3 linked regions of the Arabidopsis thaliana genome follow. The protein of the gene in region 1 interacts with the protein of each later gene in a pairwise test. Each region holds a gene or a part of one and is shown in the gene's direction. Other genes may lie near its edges.

Region 1 (8,824 bases):
CGCCCGTAATCAATCAACAAAAGTTCCAAGAACGAATTCGTTCCCCAAAGTTGATCGACCGCGAGTATCTTTACCTCACGAACATGGCCTAAGGCTTTTCAACCCGTACCACATTCGTGAGTTGTGTCAGTTTGGACAGGACTAATATATCACTTGGCCAACTTCGGATTTTTAGAAAACCGCTTTTAAATTGAAAGTTTATTGGAACTAAAGATCTAGAAAGATTTTGAAACCAAGATATCAAAAATGACTATATATATGTCTATATGGTTTGTAAATATTTTTAATAAAGTCCAAATTATTGCATAAATCTTTGACTATATGTGTATGTATGTCAGTAAGAGGAACATGGGTTGTTGCTAGTTTATTTCTTTTAATGGTTGATCATGAGAGATTGTTTTATGCTTTATATCGGACTTCTATCACTTATTTTGAGACAATCCATATCAATAAAAAAGATTTGCCCACAAAAGACAGCATATACGGTTGGGTTGTTCTGCGGTCGTCCAATTGTAGTCACCATCAGATAGTTCAAATCGCAAGAACCACAAAACAAAGATGAGGCCCAAGAAAAAGACTGACTGATATGATTTAAATGGGCCTATGAAAAGAATAGGCCCATTAAAGGATGGTAAAAGTGTCCCTACAAAGGGGGAAACAGGTCCTGACTCACTGACTCATCCTCTGTACCCGACCCACGCACTCGCGACCCCTCTCCCTGCACAAACATAACCTGTACGGTTCTTCAATCACTATTCATATTTTTTTATTTAAATACCATTTTTTTCCTTATAATATAGTAGTTTTCATGTTCATTACTCGATTATCTTTGCATTTACAAAAAAATAGATATTACACATAGTTTCAAAGAACAAAAAAAAGTCAAATTTACACTAACTAGCTTTAGTCCTTAGTTTAGATATATATATCTAAAAAGCTAATAATTTAGACGAGTAATTTAATTAATTCGACTAGATATTATTTGTCTAGTGGTTTATCTACTTTTGTGTAATAATCCAAATTTTAAATTTTGGATGTGGATGAATGAGTTTTGTAGACAATATATATATTTTTATATAAATCTGAAAGAGAGATGTTAGAACGATAAGAGACCATCACATTTGTTAGGATACAGCAATATGAATTGCAATCTTTACTTCGCCTTAATAGCAAGATCTTGAGCTCGATCAATTAATCACTTTCGACTCGACAACACATATTGAGAAAACCAAACAAGAAAATATATATTAGAGAACATAAATTGACATATATAGTGTTCACCAACCAAAATGGTGAACTACTTCAAGTTAGCCTCACAAGATTGTTGTAATCGATGGAAGTTTACAAGTTTAGTTGTTCTGATCATCTTATTAAACCAGTAATCCGACTAACAATTGGCTAGTAGTTCACCTATATGTTATATTCCAAAACCTCTCATATTCATGGTCAATTACAAAATCACAATATTGTTTTTTTTTAAAGCACATCATAATAAAGTCAACAATATATAATTTAAAAACCTTTAAGAAAAAAATAAATTTGGGTAGGGTTTGGTGAGTGGTGTCGATAGAAATGGCGGATGCATCCTTTAGATTAAAGGTATGGTACCAACTTGGATCCATTTCTTCGATAACGACTCTTCCTATTTCCACTCTGTTTTTTTTTTGTTTCCCTCTTCTTTATCTCATATCTTCCACTACTCTCAATAGTCAATTCTATATCCCAATTTTTATGTTAAGTTTTTACGATTTACAAGTTATTGGCAAATTGAAAATTGCTGTCAACTTGCTAGAGGGTATTGTAACAGTACTACCAAATATGAGGTCGAGTCTTAAGTGCTATATATGGAGAGAGATGATTTACGTTTGTGGAATCGCAATAAGTATATATTATCAAATGCTAGTCCATGGACATAAAACTATGAGCCAAAAATTAGAAATTTCTGGTTAACAATAACAATAAAGAAAAAAAAAATGGTATATGCATATACAGTATAAGGTAGATAGTTTTGATTTTTGAAGACCATTGATTAATATTATATATTTCAATATCAATTGTTGGTAAGTTATAAAAACCTTCAAACGAGAGTGAATTAACTTCAAAGTCACAAAGTTCGACTTTCGATGTTAAAAAAAATAAAATGTTTACACGTTCCATTCTCTTGTTCAAAAAAATTATGGATCAGTATTCCAAATTTCATAGTAATCTAAAAAGAAAAAGTTGCATTAATATGGTTTGCTTATCTAATCATTTTTCGGGACATCACCGTATGTATGGATGACGAAACTATATTTTAAAAAGAAGTTTTCAACTGTTCGTTTATTCATGCATGTATATCTTGACAATTACGACATTGGATGAATTGAGTGATGAATCCTTATCGTACATCACGAGTATAATTACATGTATCATGCATTGTTATCAATTATCACTTTATATATTGGATAATGAGAAGGGATGTCACGCAAGACCAAGCAAGGTTTAAGGGAGAATCGATATTGGTCAGACTCATGTGAAAATATATTTCTCCTCCTTCGTCTTGTCAATTTATTACTCTATCTCTTGTATTTTTCAATTGTTTTGGTATTCACTTCAGAAAATGACTAGTCTTCGTTTTTATGTGTTGAGCCATTTTCATTTACATGCATCTAAATGATCTACTGAATATGGATATCGAAGAGATTTTTTAGTATAATGGTTTGTGCTAGATCCTTTAACAAAAAAGTAAATGGTTTGTGCTAGTGTTTTTGTTGTATTGCTAATTTGCTATCCAATTCATAGCACACATGTTGTTGCCAAACAAATGCTAAATCCATTTTAAAAGTATCAACTAGTAAATTAGCTTAACAAATTTTTTGTTAACATGTTTATGAGATGTTTTTTTAAGAAAAAAAAAACTCATTTAACATGATTACATTTAGGGTTTGATTGGTTGTTTTAAACTGAAAATTGTCTGTTTGCAAAAATGTTTGGAATGATTATCTTTTTGCAAAAATTGCGTGACATGTTGAAGTGTTGCAATGCTGGAGGTTCTGCTAACTAACAAGTAATAATCGTATAAGTGACATGATCTTCCATTTTTTAGAGATACTAACCAAGAATTGTAAAACCAGGAAAAAAACACTAACCAAGAATTGATGATTGTCCATCTAGACTAAAGTAGTATACAAACAAAACACAAAAGATATTTTGTTCTATTTTTGGAATAACTCTTATCCATTTATAGAAATAATTAGTTGTTTAATCAAAATATCACATGCAAATTGATCGTATGCGATTTTAGATAAATTGACATCCACTCAGTAATAAACAAACAAGATACTCTCTGATTACAAAATAATCTCTGTTTTCTTTCGTGTCATTTTTCTTTATCACTCATGCTATTATTATATTTAAATTTAATATAAAACTGTTACCATTTACTATTTTATTTCACTGTTTGACGCGAAAAAAATAATCAGCATAAGATTTACCCAAAAAATAAAAAATAATTGGGATACTTAAGCAATGCATGATTAGGCTATAATCTAGAGAGACTAATAGGATGCTTACGTGGCAGTCTAGGGAGCTTCGCTGCTCCAAAAACCATTCCCCTAAAATTGAAGCCCATAGACTATTAGCGACTTCACTCTTTCTCTTTCTTTCTCTCTCTCTCTCTCTCTCGCTCTTCTAATTTTGCCCTCAAAACCCTCCAATTATTACGAAAACGCCACTGCTCTCTCGTCGGGACTCCGGTGAGGCCGTTTTGGCCGGAATCTGACAAGGGATATGGATGTAGGAGTTACTACGGCGAAGTCTATACTTGAGAAGCCTCTGAAGCTTCTCACTGAAGAAGACATTTCTCAGCTTACTCGCGAAGATTGCCGCAAATTCCTCAAAGAGAAAGGTTTCTTCTTCTTCCTTTCTCCATTTTTTTCCGGTCTTATTGTCTTCGACGGTAGGATCTTCCTCACGGATTTTGCTGAGAAGAATCGTACATAGTCAATTTTTTGAAATTCTCTATTCTTCTTCTCTCCGAGCTTTTTTTTTCGCTCTCTGGAGAATGGCGGCTGACACGTGTCGAAACAGGAATGCGCAGGCCTTCGTGGAATAAATCTCAGGCGATCCAGCAAGTTTTATCTCTTAAAGCTCTCTATGAACCTGGAGATGATTCCGGCGCCGGAATCCTCCGCAAGATCCTTGTTTCTCAGCCGCCAAATCCGCCTCGCGTGAGTGTTGTTCTTCGATTTTGTTTCGATTTACAGAGAAAAATCTAAGTTCTGAAGTAGTAGAGAATCGTTTACTTGGTTGGTGCTGATTTAGGGAAAATTGTTGTTCTGTGTGTACTGCTGTTTTGTTCACAGGTTACAACAACGTTGATTGAGCCAAGGAACGAGCTCGAAGCTTGTGGAAGGATTCCTTTACAGGAAGATGATGGTGCGTGCCATAGAAGGGATTCTCCAAGATCAGCTGAGTTTTCTGGTAGTTCTGGTCAGTTTGTTGCGGATAAAGATAGCCACAAGACTGTTTCTGTTTCCCCCAGGTTTACATTTTCTTCTATAGCGTTTTGACTTTGTGTGGTATCTTTCTTCTGCTTTCATGCCTCAAGAAGAGAACTGATGCATTGTGACATTCTGTTTGTGATCTTAGAATAAGTACTTGGTTTGATATCAGTGTCTTAGACATTGAAAAGTTTCTATATGAATCATGGTTTTGATGGTGGATTGGTCACACAGAATTTAGGTTAAAAGAGTCAGATAGATCTTCTTGGTTCTGTGTTACTCTTTACTCTTCTGTTTTGAGGATTGGTATGATGTGATGTGATTATTGCTAGTGAACGATAAATCAGTTACTTAGTCCATTAGTCTATATGATTTGTGAATTCTGCAATTACTAACAAGAGTTTTAGGGGTAGTTCATGTACAAAGTCTTATTGATATTAGGTGCATGTTGTTTTATAAACAAATTACTACTCCAATGTTATTTAATTAAGTTGTTTAAACACGCTTTTTTGTAATGTTGCATCAGAAGCCCAGCTGAAACAAATGCGGTGGTTGGGCAAATGACGATATTTTATAGTGGCAAAGTGAATGTATATGATGGAGTACCACCTGAAAAGGTAAATGAATCACATAATTCTGTCCAGCCTGAAAATATAAATTTTGATGGTATGGTTTTGATCATTCATCTTGTGTATTGATTTGCAGGCCCGGTCTATCATGCATTTTGCAGCCAATCCAATTGATTTGCCTGAAAATGGTATTTTTGCTTCTAGTAGAATGATTTCGAAACCCATGAGTAAAGGTAAGCATTTGCTAAAGTGTCTGATCTGCTTTTCAGTTGAAAGATTGATGATTCAGACTTGAAATGAGTTTTTTTTTTAATGTATAATCTAACTTGAAAAAATGACTAGAGCTGCTGCATCTCAAGATGAGTCTTTCTTTCTTTCTTATGTCAAACACGGCCTTTCATTTTGTCCAATTTTGAAAGGAGGCATTGTTAAATTACCAAAGAAGCATGTCTAAATGCTGTAATTGCTGCTACCTCTACTAGCTTATGTGTCTACAGATGCCTCGTGCCCCTTTTTTTGAAATTGTGATTTGATTTTTTCAGAGAAGATGGTGGAGCTTCCCCAATATGGACTTGAAAAGGCACCTGCTTCTCGTGATTCTGGTACAAACAGTACTCATTTTACCTTAAAGATATGAAATCCTATTATTCAATGATGCTTTAAAACACCTGAGAGCGAAATTTGGTCCACCTCTTCACCTCTACATGCTACGCTAAACTACTTGCTTGTTCTGCATGATATACGACCATGAAATTCTGTTAATTTAACTATTGTTCTTTTTGTTGGTCTTTTCTGAAGATGTTGAGGGTCAGGCGAACAGAAAAGTATCGTTGCAAAGATATCTTGAAAAGCGGAAAGACAGGTAGTTGTTGCTATTATGCTGTGTGCTTGCTTATTCCAAATCGATGAATACTGATACCTTTCTTTCTGAGCAGAAGATTTTCTAAGACCAAGAAGGCTCCAGGAGTTGCGTCCTCTAGCTTGGAGATGTTTCTGAATCGTCAGCCACGGATGAACGCTGCATATTCACAAAACCTTAGTGGCACAGGGCATTGCGAGTCACCTGAAAATCAAACAAAAAGTCCCAATATCTCAGTTGATCTAAACAGTGATCTAAACAGCGAAGGTATGAACAAGCATTTGTCAAATGGTTCCAATGATCTCCCTTAAAACTCTCATTCGCTTTTTTATAGATAATTAACAAGGTGCCAAAAGAACTGGAGATGGTACTACGGGTCAAAAGGCGGGAAGAACAATTTCATGTTCTTATAACATGTTAGCCATGTACAAAAAGAAAGAAAGCAAACAATGAATGTTCTCGTTCATTGTGGAAGAAACATGGGTTAAAGATTTGAGCTGGATCAGTGCGGGTCTTGTATGGTTTTGTTTTTTTTACGGGTTGCGTCCATCTTTTTTGGTCTGTAGTTTTGAGTAGGTTAGAGAGACGCGAGAGAGAGAGAGAGGATGTGGCGGTTTGTATTATGTAAATGCTTGTCTTATAATGAGAGAGACCTTATTGATGATACCAATCTTTGAGGTCCAAGTAACACAACTTCTTTGTGATTGATATGTATGAGATAATTAATTTGTCTATTTTCATGGCATGATGTATGTGATATGTCTGAGATTTGCAACATTCTTCTATAAAGTTGAGAAATAAGGGTAGTTTAGTCTTTTTAACCAAAGATTTTTATTTATTTGATCTTTTCCCTGTTTTAAAAAGAAGAATCGAGTAATCGGGTGGTTTTGAAGACGAAGAAGGACTAAGACATCACGAGGAACACGATGGGTGAAGCGGTCAAGGTATGTTTTTATCTTTGTCTCCTCTGCTTCTGATCTGTTAATGCCAATCGATAATTCCTAGTTTTGCGATGCAAGCATGAATCGTCGATTGTTATCTGAGTGATTTGATTCATTTTCGACGATTTTCGAATCATCATAACTACTTCTTTTGCTCAAATCTCGCAGTCAGTTTAATGCCTATTCGTATTCAATTTAGTTATGCAATTGACGATTTCTCGAATTGTCTGAAGTTTTGAAGCTAAAATCAGATTAAATATAAAATATCTGAACATTGCCTCCCAAGGAATCTAATCCCATCTTGATGTGCTTTTGCTTAGGATGGGAGAGAAGAAGTGATTCAAGCTTGGTATATGGATGATAGTGAAGAGGATCAGAGACTTCCTCACCACAAGGATCCTAAAGAGTTTGTATCGTTGGACAAACTTGCAGGTCCCCCTCTTTGTGTGTTTCAATTCAATGTTGTTCTCTCTGCTTCTCTATTTTGTTTCACATGTAATGTTTGTGTGCAGAGCTGGGAGTACTTAGCTGGAGACTTGATGCTGATAACTATGAAACCGATGAGGATTTGAAAAAGATCCGTGAATCTCGTGGTTACTCTTACATGGTTTGTGGTCTTTATTTATTTACTATCCCACTAGACTTGAATGGTAGATGTTTATTTTTGTCCAAGTCTTATTTTAACTCTCTAGGGGTTTTCTCAATCTTGGTTTGATGATTAAAAAGTGTTCAAAATGCAGGACTTTTGTGAGGTATGCCCGGAAAAGCTTCCAAACTATGAAGTGAAAGTGAAGAGCTTTTTCGAAGAACATTTACACACTGATGAGGAGATCCGTTACTGCGTTGCAGGAACTGGTAAGAACTTCTTTTACTGGCGGCTTTACTCGTAAACTTAAAATTTCGATATAGTAGTCATGTTTTATTTTCTTGGGAAAAAGGTTACTTTGATGTGAGAGATCGTAATGAAGCTTGGATTAGGGTATTGGTAAAGAAGGGAGGTATGATAGTCTTACCTGCTGGGATCTATCATCGCTTCACTGTGGACTCTGACAACTATATCAAGGTGCAATGTCAGCTTTTCTTCTAGCCATTTATTTTATAGTTTGGGCTTGCTTAGAAAATTGAAATATCTTGTTGAACAGGCAATGCGGCTATTCGTGGGTGAACCGGTATGGACACCATACAATCGCCCACACGACCATCTTCCTGCAAGGTACAATGTCCTGGGTTTTCCCCTTTTGTTTGTTCTCTTATGCAAACAATGGGATATATAATCAAGCAAGAAATTCTGTTATTTTACGAGAAATAAATTCTGATATTTTACAGGAAAGAATATGTCGATAACTTCATGATCAATGCCTCGGCTTAGAGAGCTTCCTCTCTCTATATCTGGCTTTCTGAAACAAGGATCTATAAACAAGGCCTACAATAAAGAAAGCTTTCCTGTCAAGTATTGGATATTTATATGTATTCCTGTGTAGAATGATGGCTTTTGGTATGCTTGAGTTGTTGTAAACTTAGTTACACTCTCTGATATGTCTCTCTTTACCATCTTTGTCGTATCCCATATACGAAAAGATTACATTGGGATTCATATTGTCTTACGTTCGTTCCTATGTGCAATATGTTGAGTTTTTACACAAATCTCTATTCTTTTTTATTTGCTTTTCAAAAACCAACAAATTAGAAGAAACTAATAAGAAGTAATACGTCCAACCGCGTCAACTTCTTTGGTTTAATCTAAACCATGGTTCGTTTGGTTGTTGTTGTGTATCTTAACATGCTGACGGTTTTAAGGATGGTTCGTTTGGTGGTTGTTGTTATCGAACATGTTCACGGTTCTAAGGAAGAAAAGTGTGGTTTTGTGTATTTGTGGTTGGACATAAGATTTTCGTTTTCGTTTACATTTGTGGCTTTCTTTTGTAATTTCCTTTTAGAGTTTGGAATCTCCTTAAATCCGACCTACATTAACTC
Region 2 (6,083 bases), on another chromosome or scaffold:
TCTTCTTCACTCATCTTTGAGCTTTGTTTATCGATCATAATGCTGGAATTTTATGGTAGTATCATATTCAGCTACCAATTGTGAACTCCGATATTGTTTAGTTTAGATTATGCGTTTAAAGGTTTTAATTTGCTTCCTGTTTTCTTCTTAGTGTACTCTAAGGTTATGATAAGTCTCTGTGTTAGTCTAGTGAATGAGCATTTTCACTTGCTTAGGCGTTTTCAACTGGATTGTAGCTGTGTTGACAGCTCAGGAGCAATCGTTAGATCGGTTAGCTAGAGAGCTAACATGTTAGAAAGAAGTTGGGCAAAATGAGTTTGAGAGAATTTCGTAGGGTTTAGGATTGGGAACTGGTCAAGACTCGTTAATCAAGTCTCTCTATGATATGTATTCCTTTGGTGAATTCGACTCTAAAGGAGTTTACCTGTTTGGATCTTATCCAGGTTACTATATTTTTTCTGTTAGACTGCATTTAAGTTTGAAATAAGTTTAGTGAAGGTTGTCTGATTCTGCTTTTGCTGCTGTGATTGCAGATCTCGAGGATGTGGGAAACTCCTGTATCAGTTCTTTTGAACCTTACCATCCCAAAACCTTCTCCTTCGGAATGGTCTAGGTTTTATCGCTCTGCCAACATTGTTTTCTGCCCTTTTGCCCTTTTATACACTTGCAACTCTTTTGTACAACTAAACCACCCAATTTCATTCCTCTTTCCAAACACCCATCTCCCGCTTTGGCTTGTTGTCCTCTTCATGACGTCTTCCCTAGCGTTCCTCCACTTCACAGTAGAAAAACAACCACCAAAAACCGAGCAACTGCCGGTCATTGTTGTAGCTTTCATAATGAGTGTTTTCTGGATATCAACAATTGCTGGTGAGCTCCTTAACTGCTTGGCTGCGCTTGGAACCCTCCTTAAACTGCCTCCGGCGCTCCTTGGCCTAACCGTTCTTGCTTGGGGAAACTCGGTTGGTGACCTAGTTGCTGACGTGGCAGTTGCAAAGGCAGGTAGACCAGCAATGGCTATGGCCGGTTGTTTTGCAGGTCCAATGTTTAACATGCTTGTTGGACTTGGATCGGCCTTGGTGATGCAAACAGCTAATGTATATCCAGACGCTTACAAACTTGGATTCCATGTAGGTATTGTGATAGCTTTCGTCTTCTTGTTGCTTAGTCTAATGGGATCTCTGTTGGTAATAACCTGGTCTAGATTCCGAGTTCCGAGATTCTGGGGGATCTGTCTTGTTGGACTGTATGTTGCTTTCACATTTGTTAGTTTGATCATCGCCAGCGTTTCAACCTGATCATATGCGTGAAGTCTGCACATTGAATAATCTAGGGTCAACCAGGGTTCATTGTTTAGGAATTTTTGTTGTCTAGAAGGGAATTGCCAAAATTTTGAGCTCAGCTGATGGCCACCGCCAGACCAGTAATCTTCGAATCCCACAAAAAGTTCTTGTGATCGTCCGAGCCAGATTAGTAAAGTTTGGTAGATAGGTGATGGTAAAATATATGTGCTTTGGGAGAAGATTTTGACTCCCCCATCTGGTTTACTTTTCCATTGATTGTACTGGTCTTGTTTTTTTGGGTCTGTTATATATGTATAAACCACACATTTGTATTCTTTTGATATTAATGAGAAATACTTCATTGATCCTAGAATGTGTATTAGAGCAGAACAAAATGTTGATTCTGGTTCTTTTTTATGTGATTTGATTCTCTGTGAATGCCAAATATGTTGTGATACAACAAAACTACTTGTGAAATTTGAACCTCCAAAGAAGATAATTAAAGGTTGCCAATTAAATCCTAAGAAGATAATAAAAATGAATTAATTAATGTAAGAGATAAAACAAATCATGATCTGACAAGAGCAGAAGAATCTTGACATAAGCCCAATGGTTGACACGACACCCAGCTTTTAAAGCTCTTTCCACTTACTTCCCCTTGTCTTTCTAAATTCCTCCTCATTGTTAAAGTCGAAAAAAGGGTAAAGCAGCAAAACCCTAATAAAATCACAACAAATTAACACAAAAAAACCAGATCTTAAAACTCTCTCTACCCACCAAGAGGATCAACCAGTCTCTTCCCCTTCAGATTCTCCTTTCCACAGGTCACTCTCGTTTGCAGATTCTTTTTTTCAATTTGACTTGTTCTTACTTATATATTGTGGAATTCACATGATAAAATAATATGCTTGGTGTTGTAGGAACAATTCTAGTTGTTCTGTGTTAGCAGATTCTTTGTTCTGTCTATTTTGAAGGAAATTAAAGGCAATCCCTTTCGATATTTTCCTGTTTTCCTTATCAAATTTATGGGTTGGAATAAGTAGGTTGATGTATTGTCTTTTAATTCGAAGCTCAATTTTCATACTTATTGCTGTTTAGATCTTCAAGGTTAATCTAGAATTACAGATTAGACCATATATAAAGTAAATTCAGCAGATTCTTATTTATGTAAATTGTTTGTTAGCAACCTTATCTCCTTCACATTTCTTTAAAATTCTGGTCAGATGTTTCTTAAGAGCTTAGAATGAATCCCAAAGTTCTGTTTTTTTATTCTGGTAGTGAATGGATCAACAAGACCATGGACAGTCTGGAGCTATGAACTATGGCACAAACCCATACCAAACCAACCCGATGAGCACCACTGCTGCTACTGTAGCAGGAGGTGCGGCACAACCAGGCCAGCTGGCGTTCCACCAGATCCATCAGCAGCAGCAGCAGCAACAGCTGGCACAGCAGCTTCAAGCATTTTGGGAGAACCAATTCAAAGAGATTGAGAAGACTACCGATTTCAAGAACCACAGCCTTCCCCTTGCGAGAATCAAGAAAATCATGAAAGCGGATGAAGATGTCCGTATGATCTCGGCTGAGGCGCCTGTCGTGTTTGCAAGGGCCTGTGAGATGTTCATCCTGGAGCTGACACTCAGGTCGTGGAACCACACTGAGGAGAATAAGAGGCGGACGTTGCAGAAGAACGATATTGCTGCTGCTGTGACTAGAACCGATATTTTTGATTTCCTTGTGGATATTGTTCCCCGGGAGGATCTCCGAGATGAAGTCTTGGGAAGTATTCCGAGGGGCACTGTCCCGGAAGCTGCTGCTGCTGGTTACCCGTATGGATACTTGCCTGCAGGAACTGCTCCAATAGGAAATCCGGGAATGGTTATGGGTAATCCCGGTGGTGCGTATCCACCTAATCCTTATATGGGTCAACCAATGTGGCAACAACAGGCACCTGACCAACCTGACCAGGAAAATTAGCAAGAAACTGTGAGTCTTCCAGCTTCTTTTAGGCCTACCTTGTAGTCTTGGGGTTTTGTTTCTGTTTTCGAATAATGGTAACCTTTGTATAACTTATTTCAGTATCGTCTCAGTTTGGTACTATGTCAGTTTTGGTATTCTTATCTTATTGAAGTAAAAATGTGATAGTGTATTCGCTTTTCTCCCTGCAGCGTTCTAGTCTCGTCCAGGTGAAAGGAGGGAGACCTTAGACAAGAAAATGAAAAGAACATATCAGAATTGTCAAATTGGGTGTTGTAGAAGAATCTAAAGTGTTTATGTCTATCGATCCTTTTCTAAACGAGAAATTTAGGGATGAACCAGAAAGAAGAATGTATAAACTGTAAGAAACAAGTGTGCTTTTGACAAAAGTTTTTTTATTTGAATGTTAATTTCTGTGTCTTTATCACACATATTAAGTTATTATCCACAAAATGTATCTCATTGGATATTTAAAACAAAAGGACAATAATATTAAGGAAAAGACAAAATAGAAAATGACTTGGCCACTGTAGCCGCGTTAATAATGTGATAGCTTTTATCTACAAGAAGCGTTACTTGGTCGTCATCTACCTTCTCAGAAAGGGAGCTGCATCAATGGCGACCAATAATGATTTTGGAGCTTTCATTGAGAAAGTTACAATCTCTCCAACTTCTACTTCCTCGTCGCCTCCTTCTCTACAGGGTCTTACTTTCGCCATTAAAGACATGTAAGATATCCAACTACTTACAGAGTTTCTTCTATACTTTCTTGTCAATCAATTTTTGAGCTTATTGCTTGGTTTGATCAGTTTTGATGTGGAAGGACGCGTTACCGGTTTTGGTAACCCGGATTGGTTAAGGACACACTCGGCAGCTACTTCTACAGCTCCAGTAGTTTCATCTCTCTTAGAAGCTGGTGCCACAGCTTTGGGTATTACCATTATGGATGAAATGGCTTACAGGTTCAATTTCACATCTTTTCTGGTTTAGGAGTTCATGTTTTAAGAAACAGGATATGTCATAACAGAGGCTAGAACTAAAATATGACTAGGTTTGTTACGTTTTTTCTGAGCATGTTCTTACTTAATATGCAGTATAAACGGAGAAAATGCGCATTATGGGACTCCGAGAAACCCGATTGCTTTCGATAGAGTGCCTGGGGGATCATCGAGTGGCTCAGCCGTAGCTGTAGCTGCTCGTCTTGTGGATTTTTCTATTGGTGAGCTGAAGAAAAATTGCCAAAAGTTGTAACCATACTACTGATCATAAAGTATTTTTCTTCCCTGTCTAATTGGTTTTTGATCAATCAGGAACTGATACCGGAGGGAGTGTACGAGTTCCAGCATCTTACTGTGGGATTTTCGGTTTCCGGCCATCCCACGGTGCAGTTTCCACTGTCGGACTTACTCCAATGGCTCAGAGCTTCGACACAGTTGGTAACGAAAACTAAAATCCGAGATGTTAATGGTTAAACTGAATCTTGATATTGATGGATCCAACATTGTCTTTAGGATGGTTTGCTCGGGACACAGCCACTTTGAAACGTGTAGGTTGCGTTCTCCTGCAGCAGCATCACTTGAACCCCATCGAACCATCTCAACTGATTATCGCGGATGACTGCTTCAAGCTGTGTAGTGTACCGCATGATCTCTTGGTGCAGCCTCTGGTTGGATCCGTGGAAAAATCGTTTGGAGGTAAAAAGCATCACAAGAACTTGTTGTCAGAGATTATTCCTTGATGATTTTGTTACTTAATGATTTTGTTCTGTATCAAGGCAACACTGTAGTAAAGAAGGTGAATCTTGGAGAGTACATTGGACAGAATGTTCCAAGCCTTAAACATTTCATGACAAGTGACGATGTCACTACACAACAAGAGTTCTGCATTCCGTCTCTCATGGCCCTATCGAGTTCAATGAGATTGTTACAAAGGTACAACATTTTTCTCATTTTACATTCTATCGATTTCTAATATATTACATAGGCATAACCAAAGTTTAGACATGAATTCAAGATAAACCACGGTGCATGGATCTCGTCGGTGAAGCCAGAGTTTGGTCCTGGAATATCAGAACGAATTGAGGAAGCTATCAGAACATCCGACGAGAAGATCGACCATTGCCGGTCCGTGAAATCTGAACTGATAACGGCTCTTTCAACTTTGCTCGGGGTACAACTAACTTATTCCTTTTTCTCCAAATTTCAGTTTGAAACACTTACCAGTAGACCGGTTTTATGTAAATCATACCAAATTTTGTAGGAGAAGGGTGTGTTGGTGATTCCAACGGTACCAGGTCCTCCACCGCATCTCCAAGCTAATGTGGCTGCACTTGAATCTTTCCGCAGCAGAGCCTTCAGCTTGTTGTCGATCGCAGGCGTTTCTGGATTCTGTCAGGTAATAACAACATCAATCTTCCTTCTTGTGGAGTCTGTTAAGAACTGGTCTGATCTTCCGGTGTTTTTTTCCCATGATAGGTGAGCATACCATTGGGGCTACACGAAAATCTTCCGGTTTCGGTATCATTGGTAGCTAAGTATGGCTCAGACGGTTTTCTTCTGAGTCTTGTGGATTCCCTTGCTGCATTTATTTGATTGACATGTCATAAACTTAATGCACTTTGAGCATATCTATTTTGCTTTCTGTTTATTATGTCATCGTAGCATATCTGAATGGTTTTCTTGTCCCAAACCCAACAATGTATTAAATAAATTGTTGTATATGTTGGACAATTGTACTATTTGTCTTTTAGCGAAGTATTAATGACAACTTAATATTAACTAGATTTCTTGTTCTTAATAGTGATTTTTAAAGTTCAAAATATTA
Region 3 (6,982 bases), 5.8 Mb from region 1:
GCTCGCTGGTGAGGAGTTTTCTACCATTAAAGATCAAGTATGTAATTGTACAGACTCGGAAGAGCTGTGAAGAGTCGCCGCACTTGAAGCTCAAGGCCAACAACGCTATCTTCTACATGGGTTTCAAGGGCAGTGGTGATCATCATCCGAGTGGTAAGCATGTCGAGTACCAAACAATAGTACGGAAAGCCATGGATGGAAAACCGGGACACATTCGTCTAGAAGTTGACTCTTGGCAAGCCATACCAAGCGATTTAATTGGGGAGGATGAACCGCCCTAGAGTAAACCTGAACCGGAATGCTCATCCTCTGCTGCTCAATAAAAAGTTACCGTAGGGTTGACTTCAAGTCCTTTGATGACGACTATACTGTGAATCTGTGATTACTTGTTCTCAATGCAATAACTACAAGTCTCTTCTTCTTCCTCTTTTTAAAGCTTGTCTTCTACTTGTGATTACTTGTTCTGAATATTGTGATATCAATCAAGACAAGTATGAAATCACCAAGAGCTCTAAGAATATATTTTTTTCTATCATTTTATTCCTTGGATTTTTGAAGAGTAACAAAACATATATGATTTTCATGAGAAGTTGAAGCTGAGAGAATAATATTTAGAGTTGTATTATCGTGAATTGTTGGTAACGATGATGGAGGCTCCTGGGACTAGGGTTGGGAGATGGGAGTTCACTTCTATTGAGAGCAAGTCGGTGAGGAGGAGTTTCTTTGAAACAATGTGATAGGCGGCGGCGATTTTGTATGTGGGAGACGGTGAGGGGTCTTCTTCACCGTCTCACGGTGGATAGCCACAACATCATCAACGTAGACATTAGGTTGAAAAATTCGACATCTTATGGTATTTAATATGACGATTAAAAAGAGAGAAACAAGTCTATTTATCCTTTGAATTGTTAATGATCCTTTTTAATTTATTTTTCAAACTTATAAAACTATGAATAATAGCATCAGAAATAATAAAAAAAAAACCATGTAACTTTATTGCTTATGAGTCAATCAAAGTATATATTTATTCATGTTGTAGCTTTTCAATATTATTAACCATGTTTGTTTTCATTATTTTATTTTTACATAAGTAACATATTTTCATGCCATTAAAATTTTACAACATAAGATAATTTTATTTTATAATATTCAAATTTCCAATTTCCAATTTCCTCTTTAGTCTTAAGTCTTAACATGTCAATTTTTGTATTAAAAAAAAAACATGTCAATTTTTTGTACAAAAAAAATAAAACCATGTCAATTTAGGAGGAAAAAAAACTGGAAAAGCCTGACAAAGAAAAAAAAGCTGGAAATATCAAAAATAAAATGATAACGTCGCCTGAGAGATTCGAACTCTCGCGGGGAAACCCCATGTACTTAGCAGGCACACGCCTTAACCACTCGGCCAAAGCGACTTTATTGATCATGAATCAATCTAAAATATATATATATATAAACCTATCGTTTTGAATTTTTTTTTTTGGCAAACAGCTTTTGATACTATTATATATATATATATATATATTATCCCCACATATCTTTAGCTATGTCTTTTTCGAAGGAAATTTTGAAGTATTAAATTAAGTGACGATTTACACACATATGGAGTAATTAAATCGTTTTAGCATATCTTGTAATGTTGTCTCTCTTATCCAACTATTCTAAAGAAAGTGGTGACTAGAAAATATAGATTATATACTATGTGACCAACTTTTTAGTATATCTTTATAAAAACGCATAAGATATGTCATATGTGTTTCCTCTAAAACTTGTTAAAGAAATGAAAAATCTGTTGGTAGATGTGAATAGTTATGGACTAGTTTGGCTTTAAAAAGAAAATTGGGCCCATGTATTTCTATTCATGCATTGGACATGTACAATGTACAAATATATTCATGATTGCAAACATGTAGTATATATGCTGACTATACGATTGTTATTTATTCAAAAGTTAAGAAAATGCACAAGATACACATGGACGAAATCGAAACTAATTGTACAATAAAATAATAATTATTAGTATTACGAAGGGAAAAGGGAAATGGTCCGTACTAGTTGTCCGAACCCGAAGAAGCCCCAATCGCTGATGCAACTGTCTAGGAGCCGCCACGCTGCGAAGAAGCTCTAGGGTTTGTTCGTCTTCTTCCTCGGTTTCATCAGGTTTTCATCTTCTCGATTCTGATTTCGGCTTCTGTTTTAGCTTTATTCGGCTTATTGTGATTTAATTTGAGCTGATTTGGCATTATTGCTGTGTAGTTAGGGGTCAGGGTTTTAATCTGATCGCGTCTAGGTTATGATTCTTTTGATGATTTCGATCTTTAGAAAGTCAATTGATTTGTTTCTTCGTATGTAGCTCGTTTAGCTGACAGATCTGCATAGTGTCTTATCAGTTACTAGATCTTTGTGCTATCTCTCACTCTGATTTCTGGATTTTGATTCCTTTTTTTTTTTTGTTAGCTGACATACAAGTGTGAGTGATGTGTGTCTTTGCTTTGTTTCCATTTTAGTTTAGTTTCTCAAAATGGAAATGATGAATATTGGGGGTTTTCAGAACCTAAGTTGTAGAAATGGTCTTTTTTTGTTATCACAGAACTCAAAAGGTACTTGGTAGGAGCGAGAAGAAAGTTTCTGGAGAATTGCTGAATTGTTTCTTTCAATGGTTTTGTTTCTAAGGTACTATCCGAGTCCAATGTTTCTGAGAGTTCTGGTAGCTTGTTAATTTGTTATACTGAATACTAGGATTGATTTTGGCAAAGCATGTGATGTTTGTTGCAAGTTCAAGCAGATGTGTTTCTTTTTATAAATTTAGAAGAAGTTTACTTCCGCAGCCATCTATGATTCTCAAAGTTCTTAGCTTTGCGTTTGATTCTTTTTTCTAGAAACCATTGGTTAGCTTTGGATAATGAGTCCTTTTCTGCCCATGATGTATTTTTCTCAGATGGTAATCAAGATTGTTGACGGTGCTCTGAAGATCTGTTGACCTGCTCAGAGTTTGCTTAAAAAGTTTGAGAAAAAATGGACGATGATAATGGGCTCGAGCTCAGCTTGGGTCTTTCTTGTGGAGGATCAACAGGAAAAGCTAAGGGTAACAATAATAATAATGCTGGAAGCTCCTCAGAGAACTACAGGGCAGAAGGAGGCGATAGAAGTGCTAAAGTGATTGATGACTTTAAGAACTTCCTGCATCCAACTTCTCAAAGACCTGCAGAGCCGAGTTCTGGTTCTCAGAGAAGTGATTCGGGTCAACAGCCTCCACAAAATTTCTTCAATGACCTCTCAAAAGCTCCTACAACTGAGGCTGAAGCTTCTACGAAACCTTTGTGGGTGGAGGATGAGTCACGGAAAGAAGCAGGGAACAAAAGAAAGTTCGGGTTCCCGGGGATGAATGATGATAAGAAAAAAGAGAAGGACTCGTCTCATGTTGATATGCATGAGAAGAAGACAAAAGCATCCCATGTTTCAACTGCGACAGATGAAGGATCAACAGCTGAAAACGAAGATGTAGCAGAGTCTGAAGTAGGTGGTGGTTCTTCTTCCAACCACGCAAAGGAGGTGGTTCGTCCTCCTACTGATACAAACATTGTGGACAACTTAACTGGTCAAAGGAGGAGCAACCATGGTGGATCTGGCACTGAAGAGTTTACAATGCGCAACATGAGTTACACCGTACCTTTCACAGTTCATCCGCAAAATGTCGTCACTAGTATGCCTTACTCTTTACCGACAAAAGAGTCTGGACAACACGCAGCAGCTACAAGTCTATTGCAGCCTAATGCTAATGCTGGAAATCTCCCGATTATGTTCGGATACTCACCAGTCCAGCTCCCTATGCTAGATAAGGACGGTTCAGGAGGGATTGTCGCACTTTCTCAATCTCCATTTGCTGGAAGAGTTCCATCAAACTCAGGTAAGCAAAACCTTCCCTTAAAACACGATTTAGTACTCTTACAGCAAAAATAGTAACTTTTCCTTCCAAAAAGCTACTGCAAAAGGCGAAGGCAAACAACCTGTTGCAGAAGAAGGTTCATCCGAGGATGCATCAGAACGACCAACGGGAGACAACAGCAACCTCAATACCGCTTTCTCTTTCGACTTTTCTGCCATAAAACCTGGAATGGCAGCAGATGTGAAGTTTGGAGGATCCGGGGCACGTCCCAACTTACCGTGGGTCTCAACCACTGGTTCAGGCCCACACGGACGGACAATCTCAGGTGTCACATACCGGTACAACGCAAACCAGATCAAAATCGTATGCGCTTGCCACGGCTCGCACATGTCACCGGAGGAGTTTGTACGGCACGCAAGCGAGGAGTACGTTAGCCCAGAATCATCCATGGGAATGACTGCAGCGTCAGCTCACACCTGAAAAGTCACCACCGGAAAAAAAGATGTCTGAAATCTTGTAAACAAATGGAAGGGTTTGTAATGAGTTTCTTTTTGGAACATACATTTTATTATGTTTAGTCGGATCAAACTCTCAAGCCAAAGTTTTTTAACTGAGCTTTCTGTTATGTTGTTGTAATCTCTCTACTTCATCACAATTCCTTATGTAATCCTCTTCTTTCCTTTTTGTTTTTTGGTTGAAAGGAAATTATATATAACCATAACATTATCGGTGTCCTTTGTTCCTTTGGTTAAAATCTAAACAACTATTTTGGTAAAATAATTCACTTTGATTTTGACTACTATGTAACGACAGCAAAACCTTCAATTATGTAATGTCATGTCAAAACCTGATACCATTGATACGGTTGGTTGTACAGAAAACCTGCAAGAATAATGTCAAACTCTTACTTAATAGTTAATAAATTGATAATGTTGTGGTTAAATTCTATAACAAAGAAGTAATTGAAAGACTAAAATAGTGAAAGTATTGATAAAACGATGATGAAGAGAAATCTCTTTATTGAATATTTCAGCTTAAGGTTTACAATGACAGAGAAGGGTTTATATATGAACCCCAAAATGGTGAGACACTAGGTCACACGTCATTAGCTGCACATCACGACAGAGGAACAAAGAGGATCAAATTTGTTATGAAGGGACAAATGATTAGCTGTGAATCCCGTACGTTGATGCGCTGGAAATTGAGGAATCTTGTTACCGTTGCAAGGTAGAGAAGACTTGAGGTTGATGGGCTTGACACTTTGACTGAGGCCCAAAGTATTGTTGAGTGTTGCAGGTCCATTCGCAGAAAGCAAAGCTTCTGATTGTAGAGGAGGTTCTCTCTGATTCACACACCCCCTCAAACTTGGTGTGGGAGGTAAAACAACGCCAAGTTTGTACCTTAAGTCAAAGAATGGACGTTGGGGAAGAGACTTGGTGAAGATGTCTGCAAGTTGATGAGAAGCAGGGACATGTTTGACAACCAAAGCTCCCAAGGCAACACGTTCTCGAACATAGTGAAAATCAACATCAAAGGCCTTAGACCGGTTGTGCATTGCTGGATTTGCAGTGAGGTAGACAGCAGAGAGGTTGTCACAGTACAACTCCGGTGGTGCAGGTTGATAGATGCCTATTTCACGAAGCAAAGATGAGATCCACTTCACTTCTGTAGCTGCGATAGAGAGGGTCCTATACTCAGCTTCTGTTGAGGACCTTGAGACTGTTGGATGACGTTTTGCAGACCAACTGATTATGTTAGTGCCAAGAAAAGTGCAGAAACCACCAACAGATCTTCTAGTCTCTTTGCAGTTTGCCCAGTCACTATCACTATAAGCACGCAAAGTGATATCCGTGTTGTTGTGTAAGTTGAGACCCATTTGAACTTTTCCTTTGAGATAGCGTAAGACTCTTTTGAGGAGATTGAAATCAGCAACTGTGGGGGAATGCATCTTTTGACACACAAGATTGACTGCAAATTGAATGTCAGGACGAGTAAGAGTAAGATATTGTAACTTACCAGCCAAGCTCCGAAAATAAGTAGGATCAGCAAAGCTTTCTTGTTGACCAGGAACTTTATCCAATTGAAGAGGCAAAGGGGTTGGCATTGGGGCACAATCTGCCATTCCTGCTGCAACAAGGAGATCCATAGCATATTTCTCTTGATGCAAGAACAACCCTTCTCAGTGAAAATGAGCCTGAATTCCGAGAAAGTAATGCAGCATTCCCATGTCTTTCATGCGGACTCTTTATTCAGAGAGACAAGCAGTGTGTCCAACAGTTCACTATTGTTGCCTGTGAGAAGCATGTCGTCCATATAGAGCAAGAGGAACATGAGATCTCTTCCTTTCAGAAACACAAACAGAGAAGGATCTGAATAGGTACAGATGAAACCAAACTCCAAGAGAAAAGTACTGAACTTGTCAAACCAAGCTCTCGGAGCTTGTTTAAGACCATAAATGGCTTTGTTGAGCTTGCACACATAATCAGGTCTGTCTTGATTTTCAAAACCTGGAGGTTGGTACATGTACACAGTCTCTTTCAAATCACCATGTAAAAAGGCATTTTTAACATCAAGTTGCTTGATTTCCCACTTGTTAATGGTTGCAACATGTAAGATTGTTCTCACTGTGGCTGTGCGAACCACTGGACTATAAGTCTCCATGTAATCAACTCCTTCTTCTTGTTCATAGCCCTTAGCAACAAGACGAGCCTTTAATCTATCAAGAGTTCCATCAGCCTTTAGCTTCGTTTTGAAAACCCACCTGCAGCCTAAAGGAGTAATGAACGAGTCAGGTGGAACCAAATCCCAAGTATGTGTTTCTTCAAAAGAGTCATACTCTTCACCCATTGCATCAGTCCATCCAGGGTCTTTAAGAGCTGTTTTGACTGTCTTTGGTACAGGGTAGTTACTCTTTACTGTAAACATAGCATATTTGGGATTTGGCTTGAAAATGCCTGATTTAGACCTTGTTATCATAGGATGACTTTGATCATTAGTGTTGTCAGCAGCTTCTGTTTCTGTTGTAGCTTCACTGAACACTGAACTTTCTGAATTTTCTGAATTTTCACTCAACTCTGAGTCTTCTGCATCATTTCC

The links. The genes of interacting proteins can lie anywhere in the genome.
Region 2: the proteins of AT4G14720 (region 1) and NF-YC9 interact in binary tests that used the Arabidopsis thaliana proteins (3 or more experiments, as listed by UniProt).
Region 3: the proteins of AT4G14720 (region 1) and NINJA interact in binary tests that used the Arabidopsis thaliana proteins (3 or more experiments, as listed by UniProt).

The regions. Positions count from the first base shown.
Region 1 is NC_003075.7:8,429,879-8,438,702, reverse strand, and holds AT4G14720 (TIFY domain/Divergent CCT motif family protein), read left to right. Parts: upstream 1-3,597; 5' UTR 3,598-3,768; coding exon 3,769-3,886; intron 3,887-4,068; coding exon 4,069-4,208; intron 4,209-4,343; coding exon 4,344-4,522; intron 4,523-5,007; coding exon 5,008-5,098; intron 5,099-5,186; coding exon 5,187-5,283; intron 5,284-5,592; coding exon 5,593-5,652; intron 5,653-5,848; coding exon 5,849-5,912; intron 5,913-5,985; coding exon 5,986-6,220; 3' UTR 6,221-6,243; coding exon of another isoform or gene 6,244-6,251; 3' UTR 6,252-6,730; downstream 6,731-8,824. Other genes in the region: ARD1 (acireductone dioxygenase 1), read left to right, coding at 6,836-6,853, 7,171-7,282, 7,363-7,457, 7,591-7,705, 7,789-7,913, 7,993-8,063, 8,177-8,219. UniProt on the Arabidopsis thaliana protein: Regulates the arrest of dispersed meristematic cells during lamina development.
Region 2 is NC_003070.9:2,880,580-2,886,662, forward strand, and holds NF-YC9 (nuclear factor Y, subunit C9), read left to right. Parts: upstream 1-1,911; 5' UTR 1,912-2,107; exon of another isoform or gene 2,108-2,561; 5' UTR 2,562-2,564; coding exon 2,565-3,260; 3' UTR 3,261-3,269; exon of another isoform or gene 3,270-3,451; 3' UTR 3,452-3,763; downstream 3,764-6,083. Other genes in the region: CAX11 (cation exchanger 11), read left to right, coding at 534-1,298; AMI1 (amidase 1), read left to right, coding at 3,876-3,988, 4,070-4,222, 4,355-4,479, 4,571-4,696, 4,772-4,954, 5,035-5,191, 5,261-5,429, 5,520-5,654 and 1 more. UniProt on the Arabidopsis thaliana protein: Stimulates the transcription of various genes by recognizing and binding to a CCAAT motif in promoters. Interacts with REF6 to directly regulate SOC1 transcription in response to flowering signals from photoperiod and gibberellic acid pathways.
Region 3 is NC_003075.7:14,261,714-14,268,695, reverse strand, and holds NINJA (Putative interactor of JAZ), read left to right. Parts: upstream 1-1,909; 5' UTR 1,910-2,160; intron 2,161-2,551; exon of another isoform or gene 2,552-2,590; 5' UTR 2,591-2,673; intron 2,674-2,938; 5' UTR 2,939-3,015; coding exon 3,016-3,907; intron 3,908-3,980; coding exon 3,981-4,366; 3' UTR 4,367-4,662; downstream 4,663-6,982. Other genes in the region: AT4G28920 (hypothetical protein (DUF626)), read left to right, coding at 54-281. UniProt on the Arabidopsis thaliana protein: Acts as a transcriptional repressor. Negative regulator of jasmonate responses. Connects the JAZ proteins and the non-JAZ protein TIFY8 with the TOPLESS corepressors.